Linked DNA regions of Struthio camelus. The protein of the gene in region 3 interacts with the protein of the main gene of each other region in a pairwise test. Links are inferred from orthologs where the notes say so. Each region holds a gene or a part of one and is shown on either strand. Other genes may lie near its edges.

Region 1 (7,361 bases), on a different chromosome or scaffold from region 3:
TCCGGGACCTGGCCCCAGGGGTCTGGGATCCGCCCCCCCTCCCCACCAGGGGCCCAGGCATCCGGGACCTGGCCCCAGGGGTCTGGGATCCCCCCCCCCTCCCCACCAGGGGCCCAGGCGTCCGGGACCTGGCCCCAGGGGTCTGGGATCCCCCCCCCTCCCCACCAGGGGCCCAGGCGTCCGGGACCTGGCCCCAGGGGTCTGGGATCCCCCCCCCCTCCCCACCAGGGGCCCAGGCGTCCGGGACCTGGCCCCAGGGGTCTGGGATCCCCCCCCCCCCCCACCAGGGGCCCAGGCGTCCGGGACCTGGCCCCAGGGGTCTGGGATCCCCCCCCCTCCCCACCAGGGGCCCAGGCGTCCGGGACCTGGCCCCAGGGGTCTGGGATCCCCCCCCCCCTCCCCACCAGGGGCCCAGGCGTCCGGGACACCCCCGCCCCCCGCAGTGACTCAGGTGTCCCCCCAAAGAAGGGGCCCAGGCGTCCGGGATGCCCCCCACCAAGCACCGAGGCGTCCGGGACCCCCTCCCCCCTCCCCGCAGGCGTCCGAGAGCGCCGCCCCCCCCCCCGCAAAGCCCCACCCCCCTCCCCCCAGGGGCCCCGGCGTCCCCGCACTCACGCCACCACGCGGTCCTGGGGGGGCTCCGGGGGGGGCCGCTTGCGGGTGCGCCGGGGGAGGGCGGGGGGCGGCGGGGGGGGAGGGGAGGGGGGCGGGGGGGCGGCGGCCGGGGCGGGGGAGGGGGGCAGCAGCAGCAGGGGGGCGCCGGCGGGCGAGGGGGAGGGGGGCGGCGGCCCGGCTGCTGCCGCCGCGGCAGGGGGGGGCGGCAGGGGCGGGGGGGCCGGGGCGCCCCCCTCCCCCGCCGGCCCCTCCTCCGCCGGCGCCAGGGGGGGCGCCGGGGGCGGGCGCCACTTGGGGCCCTTCCTGGCCTGGGGGGGGGGGGGGAAGAGAAGGGTTAACGGGGGGGGGGCAGGGCAAGTTTGGGGACCCCTCCAGTTGGCCCCGCCCATCTTAACCCACCCCCCCCAGCCCCCAAATTTGAGGCCCCCCCATTTTGGGACCACCTCCCTCCATTTTGGGGCACCCCCAGCCCCCATTTTGGCAGCCCCCCCATTTTGGGAGACCCCCTCAGCCCCCATTTACGACCCCCCTCCATTTTAGTGACCCCCCCACACCCCCCATTTTGGGCTCTCTCCAATTTCAGCCCCCTCCCAGCTCCCATTTGGGATCCCCCTATTTTGCCCCCCCCCCAATTTTTTGGGACCAGCCCCCATTTTGGGGCCAGTCCCCCCCCCCAACACCCCAGGGCGCTCCAGCCCCACCCCCAGCACCCAGATAACCCCCCCCAACCCCTCAGGGTGCCCACTTCCCCCCACCCCCATTTTGCCCCTCTGCGCACCGCAGCCTCCCCCGCCGGCTGTGGGGCCCCCCCTTCCCCTCTCCTGGGTGCCCCCCCCCCACGTTTCGGGGGTGTCCCCCCCCCCTCCCCGGGTTTCGGGGGCGCACCTTGACAGCGCCGGGGCGCTCCAGGCCGTGCTTGAAGTCAAAGTTGCCGAGGTCCCGGCCCGGCCCCAGGAACCGGCTCAGCTCGATCTTGCTGCGAAACTTCTCCCCTGTGGGGCTGCGGCCGGCACGTCAGCACGGGGGGGGGGGGCCCAAAACGCGGGGGCCCCCCCAATCCCCCCTTTGCTCCCTCCATACCCAGGGAGCCCCCAAACCCGGGGGGGGGCAGCCTTGAAACCTCTCGAAGGGGAACCTTGAAACCGCCAAGGTTGGGAAGGGAACAGCCTGGGGAGCCCCAAGTGCTGGGGGGGGGGGATGTTGAAGGGGTCCCCAAAAACCCCTGCCCTTCCCCAAAATCCGGGGAGCCCCTCAAAACTGGGGGAGACCAAAACACCCGGGGGGGGGGGCCTCGAAACCATCCAGGAGGAACAAGGACAAAGCCTTGAAACCACCAAGAAAAGTTAAGGGAAGGTGGGAAACAGCCTGGGGAGTCCCAGAAGTGAGGGGGTGGGGGAGCAAGGGGGACCTCAAAACACCGAGGGGGGCCCCAAAACCCCCTGGGGCCCCCCAAAAACCCCGGGAGCCTCCCCAAAGCAAGGGGAGCCCAAAAACACTCAGGGAGGCCCTTGAAACCAACCACAGATGAAAGAAAAACCCTTAAAACCACCAAAAGAAACTGGGGTGGGAGGGGGCTGGAGGGCTTGGGAAGCCCCAGAAGCAATGAGGGGGATCTGGGGGTGCCCCCAAAACCCTGAGACCCCCCAAAAAACAGGCAGCCCCCCCAAATCAGGGAGAGCCCCAAAACACCTGAGGGAGGGGCTCTTGAAACCACCCAAACACAAAAGCTCGAAACCGCCCAGGAAAGCTCTGCAGGGGGGAAAAAGGGCCTGGCAGCCCCAAAAATGATGGAAAAGGTATCGGGTTGGGGGGGGGGGCAAAAACCCAGGGGAACCCTAAGAGCTTTGGGGGGAGGTGAAATTGCCTGGGGGACCCTGAAACCGGCGGGGGGCCTTGAAACCACCAGGAGAGATTTGAGGGGGATTGAAACCACCAGGGGAGCCCCAAAACTGCAGAAAGCCCATTGAAACAGTGGGGCGGAACTTCGTGTATTGGGGGGGGGGAAGAGGGGGAAGGAGGCAGGCACACGGGGGGGATCCCCTCCCCCAAATCAGGGGTGGGGGTGGAGCCAGGGGCGGGGCTAGGCCTGGCCCCACCCCACCCCCAAGCTTGGTACCCTGGGTAGAGGGGGGGGGGGATACCCGGACACCTGGGTCCCTTCCCGGCTTTGCGAAGCACCTCGGACGCCTGGGCCCCCGCCCCGGGGTGTGGGGAGGGCGGGGCGGGGCAGGACCCAAGCGTCCGGGGAGGGACCCAGGCGTCCGGGCAGGGCCCTCCTACCTCTGGTAGTAGGTGTCGGTGCGGCCGCAGGTGGCCCCGGACTTGCGGAAAGCCTCGCGCCGCTTCCAGCCGGGCCCCAGCGCGGGGCAGTCGACCCAGCCCTCCGCCATGGCGCTGCCGGCGGCGGCGGGGGGGGGCTGGAGCGGGGGGGGGGCTCTGCCGGGCTACTGCGGGGCCGGGAGGGGGGGGGGGGGCTCAGCTGGGACCCAGGCGTCCGGGCTGGCCCTTCTGCCAAGCCCCGCCCCCAAGCGGCCAGGCCCCGCCCCCGAGCGACTTGCCCCCGAGCGGCCCCGCCCCCCCCGGCTCGCATCCCCCCCCTCCCCCACACCAACAGGGCCCAAACCGCCCCCCCCCCCGCACTAAGTGCCCTTTTCTCTCGCAAATTGCCCCAAAACTGCCCCAAATCACCCCCTCCCCTGCATTAACTGCCCCCAAACCGACCCCTCCCCAGCAGTAAGTGCCCTGTTCTCTCAGAAACTGCCCCCCGCCCCCACTAACTGCCCCAAAACAGCCCCTCCCCCTCACACATTGCCCTTTTCCCTCACTAACTGCCCCAAACCACCCCCTCCCCCTCACTAGCTGCCCTTTTCCCTCACTAACTGCCCCAAAACCGCCCCAGCCCCACCAGGAAGTGCCCTCTTCCCTCGCTAGCTGCCCCAAAACTGCCCCCTCCCCCTCACTAACTGCCCTTTTCCTTCACTAACTGCCCCAAACTGCCCCCCGCCCCTCACTAACTGCCCTTTTCCCTCGCAAACCGCCCCCAAACCGCCCCTCCCCCTCACTAACCACCCTTTTCCCCTCATAAACCGCCCCAAAACCGCCCCCTCCCCCCCAAACCACCCCTGCCCCTCACTAACTGCCCTTTTCCCCTCAAACCGCCCCAAAACCGCCCCCTCCCCCTCACTAACTGCCATCTTCTCCTCACAAACTGCCCCAAAACTGGCCCAAACCGCCCCCTCCCCCTCACTAACTCCCCTTTTCCTTCACAAACAGCCCCAAAACCTGCCTCCACCCCTGCTAACTGCCCTTTTCCCTCACTAACTGCCCCCAAACTGCCCCCTCCCCCTCACTAACTGCCCTTTACCCCTCACTAACTGCCCCAAAACAGCCCCTCTCTCACTAACTGCCCCAAAACTGCCCCAAAACAGCCCCTCCCCCTCACTAACTGCCCTTTTCCCTCACTAACTGCCCCAAACTGCCCCCTCCCCCTCACTAACTGCCCCAAAACTGCCCCCTCCCCCTCACTAACTGCCCCAGAACTGCCCCAAAACCGACCCCTCCCCCTCACTAGTTGCCCTTTTCCCTCACAAACTGCCCCAAAACTGCCCCTTTCCCTCAAGACTGCCCTTTTCCTTCACTAACTGCCCCAAACCGCCCCCAAACCGCCCCCTCCCCCTCACTAGCTGCCCTTTTCCCTCACTAACTGCCCCAAACCGCCCCCTCCCCCTCACTAACTGCCCTTTTCCCTCACAAACTGCCCCAAACTGCCCCCTCCCCCTCACTAACTGCCCCAAAACAGCCCCTCCCCCTCACTAACTGCCCCAGAACTGCCCCAAAACCGAACCCTCCCCCTCACTAGCTGCCCTTTTCCCTCACAAACTGCCCCAAACCGCCCCCTCCCCCTCACTAGTTGCCCTTTTCCCTCACAAACCGCCCCAAACCGCCCCCTCCCCCTCACTAGTTGCCCTTTTCCCTCACAAACTGCCCCAAACCGCCCCCTCCCCCTCACTAGCTGCCCTTTTCCCTCACAAACTGCCCCAAACCGCCCCCTCCCCCTCACTAACTGCCCTTTTCCCTCACTAACTGCCCCAAACCGCCCCCTCCCCCTCACTAGTTGCCCTTTTCCCTCACAAACCGCCCCAAACCGCCCCCAAACCGCCCCCTCCCCCTCACTAACCGCCCCAGAACTGCCCCCGGCCCCTCCGTAACCGCCCCTCCCCCCCCCACACACACTAACTGCCCTTTTCCCCTCCCAAACCGCCCCCCGACCGCCCCTCCCCCTCCCAAACCGCCCCCCGACCGCCCCCTCCCCCCGCCGCCCGGTACCGGCCGGGGCGCGGCCCCCGCGGCGCGCGCGCGCTCCGCCATGGCGCGGCCCCGCTCGTGGCGCAGCAACGGCCGCCGCCGGCGCGAGGGCACCGCGGCCAGGGGAGGGGAGGGGCCGCGCCGCGCGCCGGAAGCGGAAGCGAAGCCGCCCCGCCGCTGCCTCTGATTGGCTGGTGGGTCGGGGGAAGCTGGTGGTGGGGAGGGGGGGGGAGAAGGGGAGGAGGCGCACGTGACGCCGCCGCGGCCAATGGGAGGGCGGCGCGGGGGAAGGGGCGGGGCCTCCCCCCTCCTTCCCTCTTCCTTCCAATGGGCGGGAGGGAGCGAGCACGTGACGGCAGCGCGGTCACCTGAACCGCCACCACCACCCCACACGGCTGGGAGGGGGCGGAGCTATGCAAATGAGCGCGGCGGGGGGCGGACCACGTGGCGCCGGCCGCTTCCCTTCCCCCCCGCCCCGCCGCCAATATCCCCGCGGGAGCCCGCGCCGTCGGACACGTGACCGCGGGGCGAGGGGGGGGCGTGGCTATGCTAATAAGCACCGCGGACAAGCCGTGCGGGGCGTGGCTACGCTAATGAGCAGCGCGGTCGGCCCGCTCGGGGGCGGGGCTATGCAAATGAGCGGCGGCACTGAGTCGCCGAGGGCGTGGCTACGCAAATGAGCGTCGTACCGAGCGCTGGTCGGTCCCGCCCGGGGGGCGGGGCTATGCTAATGAGCGGCGCCCCCCCCCCCTCCAAAGCCACCGGGACCCCCCGAAATCCAGGAAAAAAACCACTTTCAACACCAATTTTATTGTGGGGGGGTGGAAGGCCCCCCTCTCCCCTAGAACCCCCCCAAAAGTGGGTAGGGGGCCCTAATAGGGGGGCTCAGGACCCCCAAAATTGGGTGGGGGGGTCTTAACGGGGGGGGCTCAGGACCCCCAAAGTTGGGTGAGACCCCCCCAAATTGGGTGGGGGGGTCTTAAAGGGGGGCCCAGGACCCCCAAAATTGGGTGAGATCCCCCCGAAAGTGGGTAGGGGGGCTCAGGACCCCCAAAATTAGGTGAGATCACTCCAAACTAGGTGGAGGGGTCTTAAGGGGGGGCTCAGGACCCTCAAAATTGGGTGAGATCCCCCCCAAAAGGGGGTAGGGGGGTTCAGGACCCCAAAATTGGGCAGGAACCCCCAAAATTGGGTGGTGAGGGTCTTAAAGGGGGGCCCAGGACCCCCAAAATTGGGTGAGACCCCCCCAAAAGTGGGTGGGGGGGTCTTAAGGGGGCTCAGGACCCCCAAAATTGGGTGAGATCCCCCCCCAAAAGGGGGTAGGGGGGTTCAGCACCCCAAAATTGGGTGGTGGGGGTCTTAAAGGGGGGCTCAGGACCCCCAAAATTGGGTGAGATTCCCCCCCCCAAACTAGGTGCGAGTGGGACCTCAGGACCCTGAAATTGGGCAGGGACCCCCAAAACTGGGTGAGAACCCCCCAAACTGGGTGGGGGGGTCTCAAGGGGGGCCTCAGGACCCCCCAAATTGGGGGAGACCTCCCCAAAAGGGGGTGGGGGGTTCAGGACCCCTAAATTGGGCAGAACCCCCCCCCCGGGACCCCCCCAAAGTTGGGTGGTGGAGCCCTAAGGGGGGGGGCTCAGGACCCCTAAAATTGGGTGAGATCCCCCAAAATTGGGTGGGGGGGCATTAAGGGGGGGCTCAGGACACTCAAAATGGGGTGAGACCCCCCAAAATTGGGGGGGGGAGCTCAGGACCCCAAAAATAGGGCAAGACCCGCCCCAAAATCAGGTGGGGGGGTGCAGATGGGCTGTTCAGGGGGGGTTTAGGGGCCGGGGGGGTCGTGGGGAGGGGGCAGGGGGAGGTTTTGGGGTAGATTCCGGCGGTTTTGGGGGCGTCAGGCGGCGGCGACGGTGCGCAGGGCGGTGGTGAGCGGCGCCGAGCGGGCCGCGGGGGACCCGGGGGGCGATTTGGGGCGGAAGGAGGCGGAAGGGGGGGGCGGGGGGTTCGGGGGGGTTTCGGGGGCAGTTCGGGGGGGGTTTTGGGGGTGTTGCCGGGTGTTTCGGGACCGTCAGGCGGCGGCGACGGTGCGCAGGGCGGTGGTGAGCGGCGCCGAGCGGGCCGCGGGGGACACGGGGGGCGATTTGGGGCGGAAGGAGGCGGAAGGGGGGGGCGAGGGGTTCGGGGGGGGTTCGGGGGCGGTTCCGGGGGGGTTTTGGGGGTGTTGCCGGGTGTTTCGGGACCGTCAGCGGTCGGCGGCGGTGCGCAGGGCGGTGGTGAGCGGCGCCGAGCGGGCCGCGGGGGACACGGGGGGCGATTTGGGGCAGAAGGAGGCGGAAGGGGGGGGCGGGGGGTTCGGGGGGGTTTCGGGGGCGGTTCCGGGGGGGTTTTGGGGGTGTTGCCGGGTGTTTCGGGACCGTCAGGCGGCGGCGACGGTGCGCAGG
Region 2 (7,137 bases), on a different chromosome or scaffold from region 3:
TCCAGAGGATAATCAATACAGCCCATCCCCTTAAAAGAAAAACAAGTATCTTCATATACACATGCATATATATGCATGCACTGTGGCTTGATAAACAATATTTCGAATTAGACAAAAATATCACAGTGCTTCATCTCACAGAACAGCTGCAATAAGAGCTGCAAGTTAGTGCATCTCAAACTATCGTACCGTGTATCTTTTAGTACAGTTACAGGCAATCTTACCTCTCATCCTCACCATCAACAAGATGTGTTGTCAATGGCAGTACCTTCAGCGGAAACAGGGAAGCAGAGGATGGCATGCTGCTACCACTGCTGTCTGAAACAGCTGATGCTCCAACACCGCTGTCACCACCGGCAGCTTGAGGTAAACCGACTAAGGAAGGTTCTGTAGGACGTCTGCCATCTTCAATTTGGCTTACAATTGACGGAGCTACTGATTGTGCAGGGAACTGGGTAGAGCTTAGTGGCATCTGCTGTGGCATACTCTGTGCTACTGGCATACCTATACTCGTTGATATCAATGGAGGCTGACTAACACTTTGAGCCAAACTCCCATTCTGTACAGCCGACGCTTGTGCTATGCTCTGCGGCTGCCCCAAACCTATAGAAGCAGAAGGTATGCCAGGAGGTACAGCTGAACTAGCTTGACTCGGTGCAGCAACAGTGCTGGCAGAAGGTATAGGGCTAACGGCGGGCAGCTGCTGGCTGGTCATTCCTTGGACTACAGACTCCACTGCTTGGGCCTGTGGCTGTACAGGTAACAAAGTGTTTTGTTGAGCAATGACCATTTGCTGAGGAAGGCCTGAAGCACTAGCCTGTAATCCCTGTTGCATTATGCCTGTCTGCACAGGCTGCACTACTTGTGAAGATGGAGGAGCAGCTGCTGACGGCATAACTGGGGGTGGAATTTGGTTTGCAGCAGATGGTGGTTGCACCACAGTGGCTACACCTCCTTGCTGCCCAACACCGAGCATTTGGCCACTGGTACCTACGCCAGGTATTGATGCCGGAGCATGTGCAACAGGCTGAGCTGGAGCAGCAGCAGGATGTGCTTGTACGGAAGGCTGCATGCTCGGTGCCTGAGCAACAGGAACCGGTGTGCCTGCTCCCACTCCTGCAGAACTGGGCTGCATGGCAGGCGCTGGAGTCTGAAGGATCTGCTGATGCTGAATGTAGTCTGGCATAGCCCCCGTAACAGAGTTTTGGTTTACTGGTTTCACGTGACCTGCGGTCATCTGGGTAGGAACTGTTTGTTGCTGCTGCTGTTGTCCATACTGCAACTGCTGCTGTTGTACAACTGGCAAAGGTTGCCCAGGCTGCGTTGGCTGAGAATACGGGAGCTGCTGTTGAGCCATACTTTGAATGGCAGGTTGTTGGTGGCCCAGAGACGGGGATACACCTAGTATATTAACTGGGGCTGGCTGAACCCCAGTAACAGTGGTTAGACTGGCCTGTGCAGGAGGTGGGACCCCTTGCTTCTGCTGTGGATAGCTGACTTCTTGAGAATGCAGCTGTACTTGTGCAAGCTGCGATTGAGAAACACTCTGTGGTATACTAGATGCTGGAATTGCCGGAGGAGCAGCACTGCTAAAATCCATCTGCTGCGGACCCACACCTTGAAATGCTTGCTGCTGTACCACAGTAGGTGCTCCCATTTCTCCACTTCCCACACTTTCTGTATAGTGACTCAGTGTGCTTACATTGCTGCTAACAGAACTCCCACTGGTGCTCTCCCTTTCAGAAGTCACTTCAAGCGGGTTTTGTTTTATCGTCTCTACTGCTTTGTTTACTGCTACTCCTTCTGTAACTGCAACAGTGTTTTCTTTATCATAGAATTCAGTGCATGTCCATCTACCTTTTTTGAAAGGTTCAGAACTAGAATCTAATTTTACAACTCTAAACCTCGATGTGCCAGCTGCGGGCTGCTGCTGGCTTGATCCCACTGCCATTCCTGCAGCTGGATTAGTAACATTGTTAACGACATTAGAGGAAGCACTCGTACCATTGCCAACACCACTCAAGATATTCACACTAACATTGCTGCTAGTTCCAGACAAAGCATTTACGTTACCAGTACTTGGGATGTTACTTAAATTTATAGTACCAAGCATGCTGCTTGCCACACTAGAACTACCACCACCCAAATTACTTAAGGGACTAGTTCCGGTAGCAGGACTTACACCTAAATTGCCAGGAGTACTTGTAGTGCGGATATTAGACATGACAGATGCAGGGGAACCAGTGGATGATGCAGCAGAAACTGGTGCAGTTGATATAACATTGTCAGAGCTTCCAGTTGTTGAGAGTTTTCTAAATGATGGACTAGGTGGTGGTCCTCCAGAAAGTGGTGTACTGCCCACCCCAGGATGCGATGGATGATGGTGTCCGTGATGGTGGTGGTGAAGATGGTGGTGATGGTGAACGTGATGGGGGTGAACGTTTCCATTGATCACAACGCTCTGCTGTGGGTGATGTGGCAGAGGAGGGTGCTGCTGAGGAAGATGAGGCTGGTTTGGAGAAACAGCCCCAGGAGTCTCTGCCTCCTGGAAGTTATTTAAAGTCTCTTCAGAGGAGCTCCGCTCCGGTTCTCCCAAGTCAGTGGCCCTGGATAAAGAAACATCCAGGATTTCTGAAGACGACAGGTCTTCAGTGTGGGACTCATCCAGGTCATCGTAGCTTTCCGTATCTTCAGCTATGCTGTTATTAGAACTCATACTGGCTGATATTTGAGCAGGGGTCACACTGGTAATTTGGAAGCCACTTTTCTTTTTCATTTGAGCTCCAGTCTGTGCAAGAGGCTGCGGCTGGAGCTGAGATTGCGAGAGGAGGTTCAGGCTTTGTGGAGGAGGGGGTGTCGGCTGTGGACCCGCCGATGAAGATGCTGCAGGGGACGGAGGCAGCGGCTGGACCAGCAAAGGCGGCTGATAATCCTCGGCGGCGAGGGCAGCGCTCCCAACACCGGTACCTGGCGCAGTGGGAGCAGTAACGCAGCTGCTGCCGCTGCTACTGCTGCTGCCCCTTCTAGGAAACATTGCCGGGTGCGCCATCTTCCTAGCACTAATGTCTGCGGCTGAGTCAGGCTGGTGCATTGTATCGGGTGTATTTAAAGCGTGCAATCCCCCGGTATGGAGAGAGACAGAGACACACACAGACACACACACACACACAGACACACACACACACACGCACAGTTAGCTCGGCGTTCACGGCAGGGCAGCGAGACACCACACACAACCCCCCCCCCCCGCCCCGGCTCCAGCACACACGGGCTGAGACGGCTCGGCACTGCCAACCACCCCCCCCGCCTCCCCTTCCCCCCCCCCCCCGAGACAGGGAGGGGGCGAGCACCGGTCCTCCGCCGCCTCTCTGAATGTGACACTTCCAATCCTTCGCCATTCACTTTCTCTTCCCCCACCCCACACCCCTTTTCCATTACAACCCCCCCCCCCACCACCAGCAGCCCCGCTCCTCTCCCGGGGGTGGGCAGCAGGCGGAGGAAATGCCCGCGTTGGCCGGGCAGCCCCGGGGCCGAGCCCCTTCCCCCCTCCGCTCCCCGCGGAGAGGCTCGGCCCCGCGGCGCCCCCCGCCATGCCCCTAGTAGCAGCAGCAGCAGTAAGGAGGGCGCAGATACGTACAGGACCGGCACACGGCAGGGCGGCAGCAGCAGGCTGAGCCGGGCAGGGACATCCCCGTCAGTGGCAGCCATGGAGCTGAATCATTTTGGGTATTCGCGAGACGGGATGAGGAGGGAAGAAAAGCCGCGGCGGCTCAACGAGAGAGTCCATGAAAGGCAAGGAGGCAGGAAGGAGGGGGACGCCAACCAGCCAGGCGGGCGGGCGGCCGCGCTCTCCTCCCTCTGTGTCTGGCTGTCCCTGGAGGAGGCTCCGCTCCACACGCTCTTCCTTCCCCCCCCCCCCCCCCCAGCCGCCGCCGCCGCCTCCCCCTTTATAACAGGCGGCACCGGCTCTTCCTCCGCAGCACCGCGCCGGGAATTAGTCCTCCGCCCAAATGTGCGTCTGCCCTTTTCTTTCTCTCCCCCCTCCTCCTCCTCCTCCCCGCTCCGCGTCTCTCTCCCGGCTTCCCTGCCACAGCGGGTCTCTCGCCGGCCCGGCCCCGTCTCCTCGCACGGCGCGGGAGGAGGAGGAGGGCGCCGCTGCGCGCGGCCGCAGCGGGGAGGGGAAAGCTCGCCAAAGGGGAGGGCAGGCGACAGACAACGTAAGATGGCGGCGGCCGCGCATGCGCGCCCCGCCGGCAGACATAAAGCCCGTCTGGCCCCAGCCGGCGGAAATAGGCTCGGCTCGAGCGGCGGAAATTGCCGAGCGGCGCCGAGCCCGGCGGAGGGGGGCAGGGAAGAGGAGGGGGGCGGTGGCAGGGTGCCCCTCCTTCCTTCCTTCTCCCGGCCTGGGGAGGGGGCGAGAGGGCGGGCGCCCCCGGCCCCGGGTGCCTCTCCCTCCGCGGGGCCGCAGCATGACTCTGCCTCACATGACCCGCCGCTGCCTCCCTTCCCCCATCTCCGCCGCTGCGCTGCAGATTTATTCAAGTTATTCATCACCTCCGTCCTCCTCCCATCTCTCGGTCCAGAATATTCCCGCCCCCCCCCGCTTCTCCTCTTCCTTCTCCTTCCCCGCCCCGTGAATGGGGGAAACCTGAGGCGCCCGCCCGGGGGCTGCGCTTCCCTTTGTGCCGCCTCGGGCTGAGTCCCCTCGTGCCCCGAAATGGCCGCCCGGCCCCGGCCCTGGCCCGGCGGCGGGGCTCCCCCCCGGGTGGGTGCAGTGTCGCAGGCGGCAGCCGTCTCTGGGGGACGTTGCCCGGGGCACCGCGGCTGCCGCGAGCGTCGAAAACCGCGCGTCACCGCGGGCAGCGCCGCCGAGGTGCGAGCGCAGCGGCCCGGCGCGAGGCCCTTCCGCCCGGGGCGGCGCGGACGTGGAGGCGCTTCCCGTGTGGGCGCGTCGGAAGCCGAGCCCCGGTTTCAGGAACGCTGCCGTTGACGGCTGTTCTTAAAATTGTGCGACAAGGGGAAGCCCATCAGTCTTGCCTCTCGCCGTTCCTGCGCCGGCGTCTCGTGAGGGAGGAAGGACCTCGTGGCCCGCCGCGGAGTGCAGCAGCGAGGCTCGACGCGCCCCTCGGCCACTTCCCTGCCACGTTGGTGGCTACCTGCTGCTGTAGCTGCTCCCTGTCCAAAATTTAGATTCTCCTGATCCTTCCTTGGCTACCATCTTAGACACTAGATGTCTCCGTGTTTGCCGAGGGATTTTCCTAAGCGTCTACATGTCTGTTAAATTTAACTTAACAGAGCGGCCCAAGGGTGATGAGTGCCGAGAGGGTCGGTATCTTGTTGCCACACAAACCTGACTGCAATTCGTGCTGTTCGCATTGCTCCACCTCTCTTGCCTGCAGGACGCTCTCTAGGAGCGTTTTCACAGCTCACTAAATGGCACGTCCTGCTCTCCTAGAAAGACAGAAAAAGGTTCATGCCCTCTCCCCGTTTTCTCAGTGATCTGGTGAGTAGGATGTTCATCACTATCAGGAGGGCAGAGGTTCGTATTTCCCATCTTCAAGCAGCGCATCCTAATCTCCAGCTATAGACTTTCGTGAAGATGTCTCAATCACTCCTTTGAAATTGTTCCAGTTTGCTTAGAACAATTAAATGTTCACAGGACTTGAGGGAGGCTGGCTCAGACTAATTCTATAGCCTGGTTATGAAACCTGCTGATTAAGACAGGCAACAGGACAAGGGGAGAAGGAGCTGAGTTTGGTGTTTACTGCAGTGAATATTTAAGTATGTCATGAGGAGTGGTAGAGCTCCAAGGGGAGACGTTGTGAGAATCCAACCTATTATATCATATAGCTGAGTCATTAGAGAGTTCTTCTGGGAGATGTAGATTCAAGTTCCTCCAGGCAGAAAGGAGATTTGAGGCTCCCATATTCGGTGTGTGGGGTTTAATTACTGAGATTCTGGAAAAGCTGTTTTTCTGGCTCCATTTTGTGAAGAGGGAGATTCAAGGTCGCGTGGAGCTGGGGCTTTTGTTGCCTGTTCCTGAAACAGGAGATCTGAATATCAGCCCTCCATCTTGCCTTTTCCTGTTAACTAGCTCATCTAGTTCTCCATTTAGTGTGAGGCCAGGAGTGGCTTTGAAAATCACACCTTTTGCAGCCTAATTTCTTTTATATGTGGAATGCAGACGTTCACTTGGGTCTCTAGGAAGATTTGCAACCCTTGGTCCTTTCACAGCTCTAGCTCCCTGTCTATATACAGGCAGTGCATAACACTAGGAAACGATTAACACACAGTTAATCAAGATTTTGCCTTTTTTTGAGAACATAACAGTATATTTTTTTTTAATCTGATAATTGATCGGATCTTCTAACACAACTAACTTCCTGGTATGCCTGGGCCAGTGCAAGACAAAACAGCCTGAATACCCTACCAGCTGAACCTATCAGGAGCTCCCTACAGGAGGGTGTCTTCATGTAACCCCCCCACAGACTTCAGCAAAGCATCACAGAGCATCACATCGTGATCTGTCTACATGGAACATGTTGCAACACTGAGACCTTATGTGTGTGTTTAATGAGATACTCATATGCTGAAAATTATGTGTATATAAACATTTTTGGGATGAGAGCCCAAGACTGCAAGCTAGCTTCCATTATAAATTCCTGTCCTGACAGCTTATAACTTTCCCAGAACAGTTTCCTTGAGGAATTAAGTCTTCTATGATTAGTCCCAGCTCAGAAATGATTTTTCTGAATTTTTAAATAAAGTCCAGCTACTTTTAAAACACATTGTCTATGAATATGTGTAAATTTTTTTAAAAAAATTAAATCTGTGCATAAGTGGCTCCAACATGATTGAACTGTGAAGTCTGTATGCAGCTACTTTCCGAAGAGTAATAGAAAGCAATAAGCTTGGAAAAGAATTAAGAGAGGAGTATTATAACTGGTTAAACATTTACTTTTGCACATGCACACTAAATAACTTCTATTCATTTTAAATGTAGGTAGTTACCTTTCATTCTGTTGGGCTAATAAGCTTATTAGAACAACATGTTGGCTCTACGTAGCTCTGTTCTTACGTAATAAACTGAAGGGAAAAAATGAAATCTAAACAACAGTGTTAACTTCTGTGGTTGCT
Region 3 (7,396 bases):
AAAAAGACACAAGCAGCTCAAATTCTGATCTCAGTCACCACATTATAAATCCATAACAACTTCACGGACACAGGGTTATTTCAGATACATACTGATTTCAGTGCAGTTTAGCCAGAAATCTGATAAAGCCTGAAAGATTCAATTTCATTCAGCAAGCATCAGACATCATAGATTTCCAGCTTCCTCCAGGCAGAGGATCACCCCTTTGTTACTGACTTGAGAGAGCAAGAGTTGAAAGGATATTCTGCTTTCTTCTGACAGGCACGCACCAGCTATTCTGCTCAGCAGTTTAAAAACAGGTGGAGGTAAGATTTGTAAAAGTCCCTTTCAAAACACCAAGCCAATTCAAATAAACCTCAAGGAAACATATAGCAAAAAAGACCGAAAAAACAACATAAGCCATTAGGGATAACAAATGCAAGTGAGTCCCACCAGGCCTCCCTCCCTGCCAGAGGAGCTATGAGAGAAACCAGACCCCAGCACCATGTACGCGGATGAGGCATGCGCATGGCCCACGCCAGCCGTTCAAGCTAAGGGAGCAACAACAGGCACAAACATCTTTCTCTCCAACACGCTAGCTCACACACCATCTTCTTCTCTCCCCCAGCACCTCCAGCTCACTTTCCTCTTCCAAAACAACCTGCCGTTCAGCATAGTGCCCCCTTTCCAAGTTTCCCCCATTCAACAATCCCTCCACCACCCCACTTCTCCAAGCCCTTCCCGAGCACCCCAAGCCTCCCCCTGAGCTGGGTCCCTCAGCATCCTTTCCCCACCCCAACTCCCTCATCTGCTCTCCCAGGGCCACCCCATCAAGTCCTCCTGACATCCCTCCCCCACACCTCCTGACACTGTACCCCAAATGACACCCCTTATCCCAGCCCAGCACACCCAAATGGCCCCCCAACCCAGCACTCAGGCCCTGCAGCTCAGCCTAGACCTCTATAATTTCCAGTCCCTAGAGATAACCCCCCTTCACCCCCCTAAAGGCTCCCCTCACCCAACACCCAAGCCCCTTAGCTCAGCCCAGGCCCCTAAACCTCCCAGCCCCCAGAGAACACCCCTTCCTCCTCCCAAAGGCCCCTGACCAAGGCTCCCGTCCCCTCAGCCCTGCTCCCCCAACCCTCCTCACCCAGGCGACACCCTTGGGCCCCCCTAACCACCCGCCGGGACCTGGTCCACCCTAGTCCCCTCGCAACGACCCCTCTGGCCTGGCCCAGCCCCTCTTAACAGCCCCATTAGTCCAGCCCCTGCCAAAGCCCTCGGGCCCACCCAGCCCCTCTCAGTGGCTCTTTCGGCCCCGCACCCCTCAGCAGCGCCCTGCGCGACCCCCTTCGGCCTGGCCTGGCCCTGCCCTTCTACGGCCCGGTCCCCCAGCCCCCCACGCCCCCCTCAGAGCTCCTGAGCCCTGTCGCCCCCGCAGCTTGCTTCCGCGCCCCCCGCAAGCCATCTAGCGCAGCAGCTCCAGCTCACCCGGGTTGGCGGCGGTGGCTGCCATAACCGGGGCGGGCGGGCGGGCGGGCAGACTCCCCCCCCCCCTCCCCTCCTCCCTCCTCACCGCCGCCACTGCCAAGATGGCGGCGCAGGAAAACCCGGGGCGCTGCGGCGCAGCCTAGCCTGCCCGTCCAGAGGGGCGGGGCGGAGACGAGGCGGAGCATCCCCATTGGCCTAGACAGGGCTGAGGGGTGGGAGCAAAGAGGCAGGCAGCACAGCCTCTGCCAGCAGGGTAGGGTGACCCCAGGCATGTCCCGCCCCCTTCGCGGGGCGGGGGCGTGGCCAAAGCGGGGGTGTGTGGAGTGGGGGGGGCCAGTGGGAGACTTAAAGGGCGGTTTCGGTGACGTTCTATGTTGCTTTTTTTTTTTTTTTTTTTTTGTCGGAGGACAGGAACCCTATGGGGATTGGGACTGGGACTGAAAATGGACATGGAATTAGGATTTTGACTAGCATTGGGTTTGGACTCGGGCTGGGGATGGGATTGAGTTTAGGGATGGGGTTTGAATTTGGGATTGGCGGACTGGGACTGGGATTGGGGTCGGGCTGTGGCAGGAAAGTGGTAAAGTGGTTAATTATAGCCAATTTTCATAGCACACGCTGGGCCTGGCCCTCCAGAAGCCCCCGTGAGTGGGGCCGGATGGTGGCAGGGGCCAGCTGGGGTCCCCCCGCCTCTCCCCAGCATGGGAGGGGGTTCCTGGCTGTAAACGGGCTCATTCGGTTCGCTTCCCGGCGCGGCGCCCTCCTCGTGCGCTGCCCTTCGTCCCGCTGGCAGAAACCTGACAAATTATGCAAGGGGGGGGGCCATCGCCTGGCCTGACCCTGCAGAGCCCTTGGGGGGCCACAGGCCCTGAAAGGGTCACCCTTGGCTCCATTGGTGGGTGCTGAGGGTGCTCAGCACCCAGCCGGGACACCTGCCGCCCATGAGCTCTCACCCACAGCGCAAAGGAGCCGCTGGAAAAACTTTCAGCCTGAGCGGGCGATAATTTAATCTGCGAGATCGTTTCTCCTGGTTACTGCGAGTGCCTGAAAGGCGACGCCGCCGTGTTCCTGCAGTATTCATGAACCCCCGGGGATGGTGCCATGGCCCCAAAGCGGCACCGAGCAGGGCAGAGTGGCCAGTCCGTCTGTCCGCCCGCCTGCCAGGAGGTAAGGAACAGCCCCAGATGGCATGTCTGGGGCTGCTAGGGACGGGATCGATGGGTGCTACGGGACTTTGCGGGTCCTATTTCAGCATGTGCCGTCATTGGGGCTGAGCTCATTTGATCCTGGTGCATATGGCACTTTAATACGTATATATAGGCATATACATATATATATCGGCATAGATGTACATGCAGCTCAGGCCGCAGGGCTGTGCCTGACGGCCTTGCCAAGCCTCTACCTCTGCCCCTACCTCGTGCAAATCTGTCTGTCCGCCAGCATCTCTCTTAAGCAACCTGGAGACCCTCCACTGTCGCCACTTTTGGCTTTTCCCAGCCTCCACGGGCACCTGTCGCGTTTCCAATCTGAGCCATCACTTTGCGAAGGTTCAACTGAGCCCTGGCATGCTCAGTGCACCTAATGCTTCCGGGGGTCCTGCTGCTCTGGGGCAAAGTGGCTGTGGAAAAAAAAAAAAAAAAAACCAATAGCGGGGATGTTTTAAAGCTGGGCCAAACCGAGCCGGGTGATGCTGGGGCCGACAGCCCAGGGCCAGGGACTACGCACCTGAGGGCTGCCTGCATGGAGCCTGGCCCAGCCACCAGCCCTCCAGCCCTCGACGTGGACAAGGGCATCACCGTGGCCTTCGTGGTGCTCATGTGCCTCTTCCTGCTGGCCATGGCAGTGCGGTGCGCCCGGCTCGTGGTGGACCCCTACAGCGCCATCCCCACCGCCACCTGGGAGGAGGAACAGGTCAACTGAGCCCCACGGGGCCCGCTGGCACCCTCAGGGCTCCCCAGGGCTCCTGGCACCCCAGAACCCTCCAGCACCTGAGGCAACCCCAACACCTCCATCGCTTCACGGCCCCCCAGCACTCCCCAGTCACCCCAGGGCTCCTGGCACCCCAGGACCCTCCAGCACCTGAGGCAACCCCAACACCTCCATCGCTTCACGGCCCCCCAGCACTCCCCAGTCACCCCAGGGCTCCTGGCACCCCAGGACCCTCCAGCACCTGAGGCAACCCCAACACCTCCATCGCTTCACGGCCCCCCAGCACTCCCCAGTCACCCCAGGGCTCCTGGCACCCCAGGACCCTCCAGCACCTGAGGCAACCCCAACACCTCCATCGCTTCACGGCCCCCCCAGCACTCCCCAGTCACCCCGGGGCTCCTGGCACCCCAGGACCCTCCAGCACCTGAGGCAACCCCAACACCTCCATCGCTTCACGGCCCCCCAGCACTCCCCAGTCACCCCAGGGCTCCTGGCACCCCAGGACCCTCCAGCACCTGAGGCAACCCCAACACCTCCATCGCTTCACGGCCCCCCCAGCACTCCCCAGTCACCCCGGGGCTCCTGGCACCCCAGGACCCTCCAGCACCTGAGGCAACCCCAACACCTCCATCGCTTCACGGCCCCCCCAGCACTCCCCAGTCACCCCAGGGCCACCCGTTACCCACAGGACCCCCCAGCACTCCCCATCACCCCAGGGCCCCCTCCTTATACCCAGGACCCCTTACTGCCCCCAGCACCCTCCATCTCCCCAGGGCCCCCCCATTACCCCCGGGATCCCCTATTGCCCCAGGACCCTCCATCTCTCCAGCACCCCAGGGCTCGGGCTCCAGCAGGGGGGCGCTACCCCTTTAAAAGCGCCCTGCTTCTTTGCGCATGCGCTCTGGCCTGCCCGCAAGTCCCGGGCTGGCGAGCGGCGGTCCGCCTCATGCGCATGCGCACTATCGTGTCTCTGCGCCGTGCCGGCCAGAGGGGGAGAATTGGGCTCCTTGGGCTGCCGTTACCGGAAGTGACGCCAGTGACTTCCGGCTCCCCCCCCCACCGCCTGCTCTCTAGTAATCGGGGTCGCGGCCGGCCCCGGGCCTTAGGGGTGAGGTGAGTGTGGCTGGCCCGGGGGGGGTGGGCCTGGGAGCGAGGAGGGGCTGTGAGGCGGGGGGCATCGGGGAGAGGGGGTCTAGGGGTGAGGAGGGGGCTGTGGGGCGGGGGGCATCAGGATGAGGTCTGTTGTGGGGCTGTTGGGGGCAAGGAAGGGGCTGTGGGGCAGGTAGTGCTGGAGTGGGGTTTGTGAGGCGATATTGGGAGTAAAGGGGCGCTATGGGGCAGGGGGAATCTGGGTGGGGGGTCCTAGGGGTGGTGATGGGGTTATTGGGGGCAAGGCGGGAGCTGTGGGGCAGAGGGTATTGATGTGGGAGGGATATTGGGGGTAAGGAGGCTGTAGGACTTGGGCTGTTGGGATAAAGGTTACTGGTGGTGCTGGTGCTTTTGGAGGCAAGGAGGGGGCTGTGGGGCAGGGGTTATTGGCATAGGGGATGTTGGGAGGTTGTGAGGGGATACAGAGGGTAATGGGGGCTGTGGGGCAGGGGAAATCTGACTGAGAGGTGCTGAGGCTGTGGAGGGATGTTGGGGTCGAGGAGATGGCTGTAGGGCAGGGGGTATTGGAGTGAGGGTATTATGGGACTGGGGGGGATATTGAGTGGTAAGGAAAGGGCTGTGGGACAGGAGGATATTGGTGTGAGAGGTGGCGTGGGACTGAGAAGATGTTTGGAGTGAGGAGAGGGTTTGAGAGGCAGTGGAACAAGAGATGGAGAGTACTGGGTGGGGGCGTAGGGGGTCTGTGGGGTAGGGGGTATCAACGGCTGGGAGTTGATAGGTGGTTGTGGGCATAGGGGAGCTGTGGGGTGAGAGAGTGTTAGGGTGAGGGCTGTGAGGCAGGATGTGTTGGCAGCTGAGGGACTGATGGAGGCTTGGGGCGGAGGAGGGCTGTGGAGGTATTGGGATGGGGGGCTGTGGGGAGGAGGAGCAGGGTATTGGGATGGGGTGCAGCTGGGGGCTGTTGGGCAGGGAGCTAGCTATGAGGAGGGCACTGGGGTGAAGATGGGGCCAGTGAGGGGGGTTGGGGAAATGGGGGGCTGTGGGGAAATTGGAGGTTTTTGGGGTGGTGGGAGTGGAGCTGGGAGGTGTGGGGGGTGGGGGAGAGGTATATGGGGCTTGCATCTGGGGATGGCCTGGGAGCAGCTGGGAGAGAAATGCTGTGGGGGAGAGAAATCTGGATGGGGCTGGAGCAGGGCAATGGGAGAGAGGGGGGAGGCCTGGGATGGGAGGTGGCATGGGGGAGCAGGAGAGTGAGGGAGGCTGGAGATAAGTATTTGCTTGGATGCAGACAGGGAGAGTGCAGGGAGAGATGAGAGAGGGGCTGCTGGCAGGAGAGCGGACTTGAATATAGAGGAGACTGCTCGCTTTATCGCCAGGCACAGAGCGAAGGGGGCCACAGGCTGCACACCTGGAGAGGGGAAGCCGCTGGGGCCCTCCCTGGGGCTGGGGATGGATGTTATAATGCTCTTTACATACCCTAGGAAGGAGAGGGATGGAGCTGTTCTGGGCTGCTGCTTGAAGGCGAAGCTGTAGCACAGACTGGGAGAGGTGTCTGCTTGGTTTTTCCAGGCCAGGCAGAGGTGTCCGAGAGTTGGGAACGCTTCGCAGGTGTTGTGGAGAAGAGGGTTAGCGTAAGGGTCTGGTATTCAGCAGGATCCATGCAGGGATCAGAGAAAATACTTTCTGCTTGTCCTAGGAGCCTTCAGCTCCGTGGGTCATTTGCACTTTGGTTATTTTTGGCTCTCTGTAATGCTGTCTTAACAGAATATATAACATAATCTTCCAGATCAGCTCTTAAAAGTGGAGGCTGTGATAGAGCCATAGAATCTTGCTGGGCTTTTCTCAGCTCCTTGTGGCTTCAGGTGCAGCAGAAATGGATTCCCAGGAGATCAAAGAGCTACAACAAGAAGTTATGGAGGAGCTAGGTATCTCCATGGAGGAGCTCCAGGACATCATTGACGAAGAGCTGGAGAAGTTTGAGTGTGTGAAGCAGAGGAAGCAGCAGCTGGAGGAGCTGGAGAAGTGCGTGAAGCAGAAGGAAGAGGAGGTGGCTCACGTCGACCGGCTCTTTGATGATGCTTCAAGGTGGGCGCACTTGGAATTGTGGCTGTGTGTCCAAGTCAGGCCTTGAAGGAGCAGAGGAGATCAGATGGCAGGGTCCAGTGTTTTGAGCACTGCCTGTTTCCCGTCCGTGTGCACTGATGCTGCAGTTCTTCGTCAGCTCACTTGTATGAGGTTCTTGAGGAACAGTTAAAATTATTCCTCATCCTGTGGCTTCGAATTCTTCGCACAAATACTCTTTCCTCACCTACCAATGGTTATATTTAATTAGCAGGTCTCCAGCAGCACCTGTTTGTTTCTGTGTTATTGTGGGATGTACAGCTGGGTTCACCTTGTCTTTTCCTGTCTCTGCTCCTCTTTTTTTTTTTTTCCCCAGAGCCATTGATAAATGTGAGATATTAGTAAAAGATCTGTACTCCAAGCTGGGCCTCCAGTATCGTGAGAGCAGTTCTGAGGACGAGGACTTGGCTGCTAAGGCCACAGAAGTGATCGAGATCCCAGATGAGGACGATGATGATGTCATGAGCATTGACTCGGGCTGGAAGCACAGTTCAGTATCCCGTTATGCTGCGTGGTGCTGAGGGGAGGGATGGACATACGAGCGTGTCCTGGAGGAGGAAGGGAATGAGTAGGGATCAGGGTGAAGATGTTGTAAAGTAGCCCATAAGCACTGTTGGTCCTTAAGCACAAGAGGATCAGAGAGGAAATGCCCTTGGCTTGTGCGAGGAACATCACCTCTTGCGTGGTCTGTCTGGGCCTGTAACTATTCCATGGCTCTTGAGTTAAGGTTTGTTCAGGTGCCGAGCTGGGACCTTTCCCTTTTTCT

Evidence for each region.
Region 1: the proteins of SETDB1 (region 3) and methyl-CpG-binding domain protein 1-like interact in binary tests that used the Homo sapiens proteins (3 or more experiments, as listed by UniProt). The link is inferred for Struthio camelus from reciprocal best matches to the Homo sapiens genes SETDB1 and MBD1.
Region 2: the proteins of SETDB1 (region 3) and TSC22D1 interact in a two-hybrid assay, tested with the Homo sapiens proteins (2 studies listed by BioGRID and IntAct). The link is inferred for Struthio camelus from reciprocal best matches to the Homo sapiens genes SETDB1 and TSC22D1.

What each region holds. Positions count from the first base shown.
Region 1 is NC_090979.1:628,795-636,155, forward strand, and holds the start of methyl-CpG-binding domain protein 1-like, read right to left. Parts: upstream 3,063-7,361; 5' UTR 3,006-3,062; coding exon 2,896-3,005; intron 1,616-2,895; coding exon 1,501-1,615; intron 924-1,500; coding exon 801-923; intron 690-800; coding exon 616-689; intron 1-615. UniProt on the Homo sapiens protein: Transcriptional repressor that binds CpG islands in promoters where the DNA is methylated at position 5 of cytosine within CpG dinucleotides. Binding is abolished by the presence of 7-mG that is produced by DNA damage by methylmethanesulfonate (MMS).
Region 2 is NC_090942.1:190,717,528-190,724,664, forward strand, and holds the start of TSC22D1 (TSC22 domain family protein 1), read right to left. Parts: upstream 3,092-7,137; coding exon 225-3,091; intron 1-224. UniProt on the Homo sapiens protein: Transcriptional repressor. Acts on the C-type natriuretic peptide (CNP) promoter. Acts to promote CASP3-mediated apoptosis.
Region 3 is NC_090971.1:2,523,249-2,530,644, reverse strand, and holds the start of SETDB1 (histone-lysine N-methyltransferase SETDB1), read left to right. Parts: upstream 1-4,382; 5' UTR 4,383-4,512; intron 4,513-6,295; exon of another isoform or gene 6,296-6,371; 5' UTR 6,372-6,382; coding exon 6,383-6,594; intron 6,595-6,946; coding exon 6,947-7,119; intron 7,120-7,396. Other genes in the region: ARNT (aryl hydrocarbon receptor nuclear translocator), read right to left, coding at 588-681. UniProt on the Homo sapiens protein: Histone methyltransferase that specifically trimethylates 'Lys-9' of histone H3. H3 'Lys-9' trimethylation represents a specific tag for epigenetic transcriptional repression by recruiting HP1 (CBX1, CBX3 and/or CBX5) proteins to methylated histones.